Linked DNA regions of Oryctolagus cuniculus. The main gene of each other region encodes a partner of the protein of the gene in region 2 in a complex. Links are inferred from orthologs where the notes say so. Each region holds a gene or a part of one and is shown on either strand. Other genes may lie near its edges. The genes, in order: SUFU and GLI1.

Region 1 (3,797 bases), on a different chromosome or scaffold from region 2:
CTAATGAGCCCATAACATGGGCCTTTGATCAAGCAGCTCCCAGCACAGCAACTTTATTGAAACAGCAGCTCCGTTCCCACCGCTCCCCGGTTCCCTGGGCAACAGCCCATGGGAGGGGACCGAGCGCTGGGGAGTCTGCGGGTGCTGATCTCTGCAGCTTACACAGGGGCTGCCAGGGAGGTGAGGGCATTGTGGTGATGGGAGGGGGACACTGGCAGCCAGGGGAGCAGGGGCCCAGAAGCTTTAGAGGGACTAAGGGGCACTGCTGAGTCCTCTGGGTGCCAAGGCTCCTGGGATGCTACTAACCAGAGCTGCTGATCACTCTCTTTAGGGCAGGGAGACCCTCCAAGGGGTGGCAGAACTCCAAGGCCAGGGTCAGAGTTGAGGATATGAAACGTCACTGGGGGATATTTATTCTTGGGTTTGGGGAGATCCCAGCCCTCACTTTTCCAAGAAAATGTGCTTGAGCCTTCAGTAAACACACATGCCATCCTTGTACACTTCTGCTGAGACCTGTCAGCACTCTGTTGCCCCAGGAGTGAGGACCCGTGACCTCCCAGGGCTGGGTCTCCTGTACAGTGCCCACCTCCTACCTCCTCATCAGCTCAGCCCGGCTGGGGAGGGCTGCTCCCTCCTGCTCTGCAGGGGCAATGCTGGGTCTGTGGGGGTTGGGGGCAGAGCAGGGGCCAAGGGAGGCCCTTCCCACTTGTGCTGGGCTAATTTCAAATGTTACACTTTGGAGCTTTTGCTACAGTAACTACCAACACCACATGGACAGAAATCTAATGTTACCAAGTGGGACTTTTAAAATGTATTTATAACTTTATGGTTCAAAGTAATTTTGTTATGAAACAATGTAATAACAACAGTGGAAAAAGGCAAGATAATTTATGGAACACAATATCCCTAAAGCACTAGCTTCCATTTCTACCTCGGCTTAGTCTGGGGAGTGTGGTTGGTGTCCTCTGTTTGCTGTTTGTTTTAATTAAGGGTTAGTATTTTGGTGGGGGTGGGGTGAGGACTGGCCTGCAGGCTGAGAAACTCTGCTGTAAGCAGATAGACGGGGACTAAAAGTAAGGCCATATGAAGAGCAGAGGCGCTCTGCAGATCCCAGACTGGGTTAAACCCACAAAGCCAGCATAATTCTTTTCCCCTCTACCATACCACCCCCTTCCCCCACCCAGTGTCCCCTTCAGCACACCACAAATAAGGCACAGGTACCTTTTGGATTAGGGTCAGATTCTCTTTCTTGATACTCCTGAGAGAAGCAAAATATTCTTTTCTCCCCCATTCCCAACAAACAAACAAAAGCCAAAAAAGGATGCTGTCCCTCCAATATACTTGGAGTGTGGCAGACCAGACCAGAGCACTCCTCAGAGACCTGGGCCTGGGTGGGGGCTGGAAGGAGGCCAGTGGTTCTTAGGCCCCAGCACCCTGCTTGGCATTCACTCTGAAGCTTGCGCCAGCCAGAAGAGCAGAGGAGGGACAAAGTGTTCTGGACAAGCCAGCAGGTTTCTGCTCAGACCAGCTGGGTTTCCATCAGAAGGAACGGGGAGAGCCATTCGATGTGTGTGTGCAGGGGGCTGGGGGAGGGAGGCCCCCACCACCAAGGCCCGCCCATCCCAGTCCCAGGTCCAGGTCCACATGCCCACTTCCTGTGAATTCCATGCAGCTCCTGCAGAGTGGCTGTCATCCATCCTCCCCATCTTGCCTCACCTGTACCTTGGTATACCCAGGTGGGAAACCTGGATTACCAATGGCCAGGGCCTGGAGAGTTATCACTGGGGTCTCATTGTATGATGAGGGAAGAGGCCAGGAAGTGGCCCTGGGGCTGCTGGGATAAGCAGTGGCATCCACACTCCACACCCACATACAGGCCTCAACCTCTGAGCCCAAGAGGTACTCATCAGCAGCCTCAGGAATGGGCCTGGCTAAGAGCTGCCAAGGGAGAGGAGGGCAAGGAAGAGCCTACGGAAAGAGAGGGGAGAAAAAGAGCCTTCTCACTTGCAACCAGGGTCCATGGGCCGCGTAAGGATGCTCCTCGGTGGCAAAGGCGCCTTCCACTCCCGTGGAGACAAACGTGATGGCCATGTCACCTGTGATACTTTTATACGTAAAGTGCCGTCCATGCAGGAGCCTGCCCCTGGGGGAACATGGAGACAGTAAGGAGCTGGGCCTGGAAACAGCCCAAGTGCAGTGGCCTGGCCAAAGGTCTGGGACCATGCTCCCTCGGACAGGGAGTCTGACAAATGAGACCAAACTGCCACCTGCCCAGGAAGAGGGGGCTGTAACCAGACACATTGCTTTCTCCACCTTCATGGGAGAGGCCCTTCCTACACATCCTCTAACATCATCCTTCCAAAGAGCTCAAGGCCAGCAGAGCACTAGGTCAGAGTCAGAGGGCCTGCACAGGTAGTGGAGCCCGCTGCCCAGGGTGCTGGTGACGGACCTGAGGCCAGACAGCGAAGTCAGCATTGTGCACAGGGTTGTGCCCAGGGTAATGCCCAGGGCTAAGAGGGAATTCACATCCCCTTGCTTGGGGGACTGGAGGTGTGGTAGTGCCTTCACAGTAGGACTGGTCACACACAGTGCCTGGTGGACTCTTCACCTGCTTCGGCACTTTCTCATAGCAGTTACAGGCTCTCCCAAAGGCCCAACCCAGTTTTTAAAAAAGCTGAAGCCAAGTGGGGTCACTCTGAGGGAGCCATCGGAAACTACTGTTAGCTCTCAGTCTGGAAATACACCTGGGGGAAGGGCAGGCAGGGACAACTAGTGGGCCACAGGCGCCAGTCAGCAAAGGAAGCAAAGCTGGCATTTTGCTTTCTCAGGCAGCCGCTGATTAACCCTTCACCAGCTCCAAGCCCGGGCCAGTGAGGCAGCAGGGGAGGACATGGCTGGCGGTGGGCCTGTCAGGTCTGTCCCACACTGACTTCTAGCTCTGCTGCTCAGGGTGGCTGGACTAGGCTGGTCCCTTTCAAACTCTCTTACAGGCTCCAGGGATGGTGGGGAGGGTCCAAACTGCAACCCCTTCTTCTTCGTCACCGTTCTTTGTGTTCAGAGCTATTCTAACCGCCTCTCTTGCCATCAGTGAGGGTGGGGCCCAGAGGGCTGTGGAGGAAGCCATCGGCTGCAATAGATTCAGCCAATGTAGTGTCCCCGAGTGGGACACTGGACTCTGGTCGCAGGGCTGGGTTTCTGGCAAGGACAGCAGGCGAAGGGACACAACTGGACTCCCTGGTCCCTTAAGAAGTCTGCTGGGCCGGCCACCAGCCTTGAGGAACTTAGTGTTTTGCATGGAGAAAACAGCAAGCAGGAGAAAACAGAGCCCAACGTACCAGAAGCCTCACCCTGACAGCCCAGTGCTGGTGACCCTGCCATCCAGACCCCAGGCTTTGGGTGGCTGGGAGTATCTGAGACTTCCTTGGTCGCTGAAGCTTCCTCTGGACCGAGGAGACAACTTCAGCAGCAAACGAGGATGGTGTGGCAACCAAGCAGTCAGACTGGAGACCAGTGGGGCTCCCTGGCCATGGTCCTGGGCCCACCAGAGGTTGTCACTGCTGTAGGCTAGGCACAAGCTACAGAGAAGAGGCCCCTCCCTCAGGGTGATCTACAGTGTTCACAGAGGCTGGCCAGAGGCCTAGGCAGGGAGAATACAGCACAGCACCGCTCAGTGACAAGCCAGCTACTGGCTGGTTCACAGTTCCCAAGCTCCCACGGGTCCAAGATGGAGCTGCCTAGGTTCTCCTCCCTCTCCTGCCCAGTCTGAGGTGTGCGGGTTGCAGACAGGCACCTCCCTT
Region 2 (4,563 bases):
AAAAAAAAAGTTCACATCCTATATCTAAGTCCCTGGGTTCAAGTCCCCAGTGAGAGACTTGGATTGCGTTCCCAGCTTGCATTTTGGGAATGAATCAACAACAAAGGTTAGGAGCTCTGGGTCTCTGTCTCTGCCCCTGAAACAAGCTGATAAATGAGTCCTAGGAGAAAGGACACCCGGCTGGGACAGGAGCAAGACTGGAGTCTCTTCCCGGTGACCATTGGTGCGGCCTGAGCGAGCTGGGCAGGCCCTCGACCCTCTGGGTGACACTGTGCGGGAGGCAGGCTGCACGGGACCTCCCCCACCCCCAGTGACTCCTGTGGGGCCCAGACCTCCCCTTGCTTCGCCTGGTCTTCCCCTCCCTGGACCCCCCAACCCGACTGTTAACAGGCCCTCACTCTCAGTCCAAGTAGATGGCTCCTGGACGCAGAGCTAAGGTGTGCCAGGTCTGCCAGGGAGGTCACAGAACCGGGAAGGGAGTCTTCCTCTTCCCCAGGACGAAATAGCTGCCCCCTCCCCGCCATCCGGTCACCACGGCAACACAAACCCAGAGGGACAGGGCACTCCTCCGTCAGGGGGGCACTCCCGCAGGGTGCCAGCAGCCTCTGCCGCTGGGCCCCGCCGCTTCTCTGGGCTCCTAACTGGGCTTTGGGGGAGGCAGCTGTCTGGGCGCGAGCTCCGTGGGTCCTCCCGGTCTCCTCCGCCTCCAAACGCAGAGAGGGTGTCATGTGCAAGCAGGGCCAGCAGAGGGAGCAGGAAGCCTTGGAGAGCGTAAAGAGCGCGGGCGGCAGAGAGGTGCGGAGGTGGCCGCAGCCTGCAGAGGTTCGAGGTGGAGAGGGCGTTTCCTGGGAAAGGTGCTGCAGACCCACGGCTCCTTAGCGACACTGTGGAGGCGCACCTCGCACGCAGAGCCTCGGCCGCTTCTCCTCTCCTTTCTACTCCGTAGACCCCGAAACTTTCTCCAGAGCCCCCCACCAAGCTCCTCAGCTCGGTTTGCCCCAACCCCAACTCTCCCAGAGGATTAGACCTGCAGATAAACCACAGGGTGGCGGGATGCTCAGTTCGCATCCGTCAGTGTGGACGACCCTGCCTCGAACATGATCTTTGCCAGATGAACTTCTCTCTTTTTCCCCCGCCTCGCAATATTTCCCTCGGTCTTTCTGGCTCTGGCTCAGGACCACTTCGTGGACAGCCGATCCGCAGATCCAGACCGGGATTTTCCGCCCACCACCAGCAGCGTGTTCGGGGGGGGGGGGGGGGAGGCAGTATAGGGTCCCTCAAGGGAGGGGGAGGATCCTGGGGGTCCTGGGGGTGCAATAAGCCCGGCACCCCCTCTCTCGCTCCTAGCCACCCCGCCTCACCCTCCAGAACGGCAGGAGGGAGGGAGATAGGAGGGAGGCGAGGGGCGAGCGGGAAGAGAGGCGGCGCGCCAGCGGCTAGAGCGAGGAAAAGTTTTTGCAAAAGGGAAAAAAAAAAGTTTGCGCTTCTCGCGGGTGGTCCCGGCTCGCGGCCCGGCTGGCTGGGCCGGCGGGAGGGCTGGGGGGCCAGGTTGGGGGGTGGGGGTGGCACCGAGGCTGCGCTGCCGTGGCCCTGTCCGCCCCCCCTCCCCACCGCACACCCCCCAGCCCAGACTCCTGCCCTGGACCGCGCATCCCGAGTCCAGCGCCCAGACGGAGGTGAGAAGGGGGGCGGGCGGGGGACCACCTGGGAGCGGTGGGGGAGGGGGATGCTCTGCTTCCGAGGGGTTCACCCCGGCCTGGAGGGAGACCTGGGGTGCAGGGGCAGAATGGGGGTGGGCGAGCCCGGGGTGAGTTGTTAGGAAGTCTGAGGGAATTTTTTTTTCCCGTTTGTATCTCTTCATTCCCTTCTTTTTTTCTTCTGACAGTCTGCGTGTCTCTGTCTCGGGCAACCGTGGGTCTCTTTGTCTCCGCCACTCCCCTGTGTTAGAAACATCTCACTTTCTTGAGGCTGGAGGGGTGGCTGTCCTGGGGTCTGCGGGGTGGAGCGGGAACTCCAGGTAGCATCTTGAGTGCCAGGCATGAGGACGTCGGGGCACCCCAAAGGAGGGCGCTCCAGGTGGGGTGGGCTTAGGTGTGTGTGAGGCAGCAGAACCACGGGGAGCCTGCTGGGCCTGAGCCCCCGACCTGCTGTGACCGATGTGCCTGCAGATGCGGGACGCGAGTGTCTTCCGGACTAGGCCGGGAGCTGGCGGGGCTGCCCAAGGTCTAACTAGGCCTTAGAAAGACCCCAAAGAATTTTGGGCTCCCGAGCCTCTAGGGCTATGGGGCAGGCCGCTTAAGAGGAGCTGGGGAGACCTTTTCTTGACCCTCTGACCTCTGGACCACCGGGGCAGCTGAAGCCAGCCGCCGGGAGACCCCTACTGGGGCTGGGCGGGACCACCGGCCACTGCCAGCCTATATATCCCGCTTGGCCCCCCGCCCAAACGGGAGCTGCGAACCCAAGCCCCTCCTCTGGCTCAGACCACCCTGCCTGCCCTGGCTCCCCGCTCTGAAGCCTCTTTCAGGCCCCTTGACCCCGAAACAATCAACCCTGGGTAGCCAGCTTTGGGGGCAGGATTAGAGAAAGGGGACCCCGTAGTGGCGGAGGACTGAGGGTTTTAGGGGGCTGGCGAGCTAGGGTCTTCCTAGCATAGGCCCGAAAGTTCCAGTGGAGGGCGAAGACCTGGCCGTTTCCCGGGGAGACGCGAAGGCCGGCGTCAGGGTGGTTTTCCCTAGGGGGGCGGGGTCCCGAGACCCCCCCTCATTATCTCCCCGGCATCCCCGCCCGACGCGCAGACCCCGCCCTTGACGTCACTAGGGGGTTCCCGGGGGTCCGAAAGGGTTAACCCTTGGGCTGCCGGGAACCCGAGGTGTTCACACACACACACACACACACACACACACACCTTGTTTTATTTACTCCCACTCTTTCCCCTCCCTATACTCTAAGGATTCTCTTGCTTTGCCACCCCACCACGGGGATCCCCACTCTCCAAAAGTGCTCCCCAGGGCGCCGCTGCCTGCTTTCGGGATGCACGGAGAGGAGGAGGAGGGAAGAATGTGTCCCGCCCCTCATCCCCCCCCCCCCCCACACACACTGTACGGCTCGCTCGACTGGGCTCCCGGGGCGGGCGGGGGAAGCGGAGCCGTCTGCAGCCAGAGCCTGCGGCGGCGACTTGGGTGGGCCGAGGAGGCACGGGGGCGGGGAAGGCGGGACCGGGGAAGGGGGCGGGGCCGGCTCCTGGGAGTTGGGGAGCGGGGGTACGAGGGGGCACTCTGGCAAGCCGGGCTCCGGCGCGGGATCCGGGGAGATCCCCACCCCACCCCACCCCACCCCACCCCGCACCCTCACCCACTCCCAAGTGTCCCGGAGCTGGGAAAGCGGGCGGCGACCTTGTGCTTCCACTAGTGCGAAGGGGAGACGTGGGTGGGCCGCGGCACGCGTGGGCGGGGAGGGATGTCGCCCCGTTTCCAATTGCGCCTGCCTGGCGGCTAGGCGCTGAGGCAGGAGGACCACCGCGTGGGCACGTTTTGGGGAGTCTCGTTGGCGTTGGGGGGGGTTCCTTGACGAGTCCGCCTCCTTTCCCTGGGTGAGTCATAGAGGAAGGAGGCGGGAGACGGGCCCCCCCACCCAGCTGCCAGCCAGCTGTGCCCCCCGCCTCCAACTTGAGTGCCAAGGTCGAGTTGGGAGGTCCCCGGTGCGGGATCCGGGGGTCGGCTGAAGGAGGAGGAGTTAGGAAGGGTACGGCCCTGGTTGCGGGGCTCGGGCCGGGTCTTGGGGTCCGAGTTCCGCTCCCCGTGTTACCCCTCCCTCACCCTAAATCCCAGCATCCCGGGATCACCCACCGCGCCGGCCGGCCCGCTCCTGGTGGCTCTCCACCCCGCCCCGCCCCGCCCCGCCCCACCCTCGCTCCCGGAATCCCGGAAAACCCGGGGTGGAGTATGAACCGGAGTTTGAGGAGAAAAGCAGACAGCAGCACCCGCTTCTTCCTCACTACTTTCGAGTGGCTGATGAGTTTGTTTTTCATTCTCCTTAATGCCTTCCCTCAGAGTTCTTTTCCTGTTCCCCAAAAACCAGACACCGAAAGGCTAAGTGGGCCCAGATCCAAACCACGGCAGGACAATGTCAGCTTCTGTCCTGCATACCTACCAGCCCCGGGAGGCTCCCCCAGAAGCCTGACCTACTCCTACTCACAGTTCTCCACCTAAGAGAGCCCTAGCTCTTCAGTGCTCGCTCCTGACCCCGCCGGCCTGTCTGGACTGTGGCGAGGGCTCCTCCTGCTGGATACTGGGGAGACTGTAGGCTGTCCGTGCGTGGGGGCCAGTGAAGGAAAGGAGGCGAGCCTCCTGGGGCTTAGGTCAGACCCTCCCTAAGTGCCCGCAGCCCAGCCTTCAAAGCTGGCTCCCTGTCAGAGCAAGAAGCAGAGGGCCCACAGCATGAAAATCACCTGGAGCTCGAACAGGCACGATTAGTCCATAACACCCCCTAACCACACATACACACTTATGGGGGTTAACGCTCAGACCCAGTTACCAAAAAGATCTCCAAGACTGCAAGAAGGCC

What was found.
Region 1: the proteins of GLI1 (region 2) and SUFU are in contact, whole or in part, in a crystal structure (PDB 4KMD), measured with the Homo sapiens proteins. The link is inferred for Oryctolagus cuniculus from reciprocal best matches to the Homo sapiens genes GLI1 and SUFU. Residues at the interface, in NP_005260.1 of Homo sapiens: Gly119, Ser120, Tyr121, Gly122, His123, Leu124, Ser125, Ile126, Gly127; in NP_057253.2 of Homo sapiens: Leu144, Tyr147, Asn153, Thr154, Phe155, Gly158, Asp159, His160, Val161, Ser162, Trp163, His164, Gln212, Asn265, Leu266, Ser267, Gly268, Val269, Ser270, Ala271, Glu376, Leu380, Lys398.

What each region holds. Positions count from the first base shown.
Region 1 is NC_091446.1:27,362,426-27,366,222, forward strand, and holds part of SUFU (suppressor of fused homolog), read right to left. Parts: intron 2,144-3,797; coding exon 2,005-2,143; intron 1-2,004. UniProt on the Homo sapiens protein: Negative regulator in the hedgehog/smoothened signaling pathway. Down-regulates GLI1-mediated transactivation of target genes. Down-regulates GLI2-mediated transactivation of target genes. Part of a corepressor complex that acts on DNA-bound GLI1.
Region 2 is NC_091442.1:60,086,308-60,090,870, forward strand, and holds the start of GLI1 (zinc finger protein GLI1), read left to right. Parts: upstream 1-1,545; 5' UTR 1,546-1,676; intron 1,677-4,563. UniProt on the Homo sapiens protein: Acts as a transcriptional activator. Binds to the DNA consensus sequence 5'-GACCACCCA-3'. Regulates the transcription of specific genes during normal development.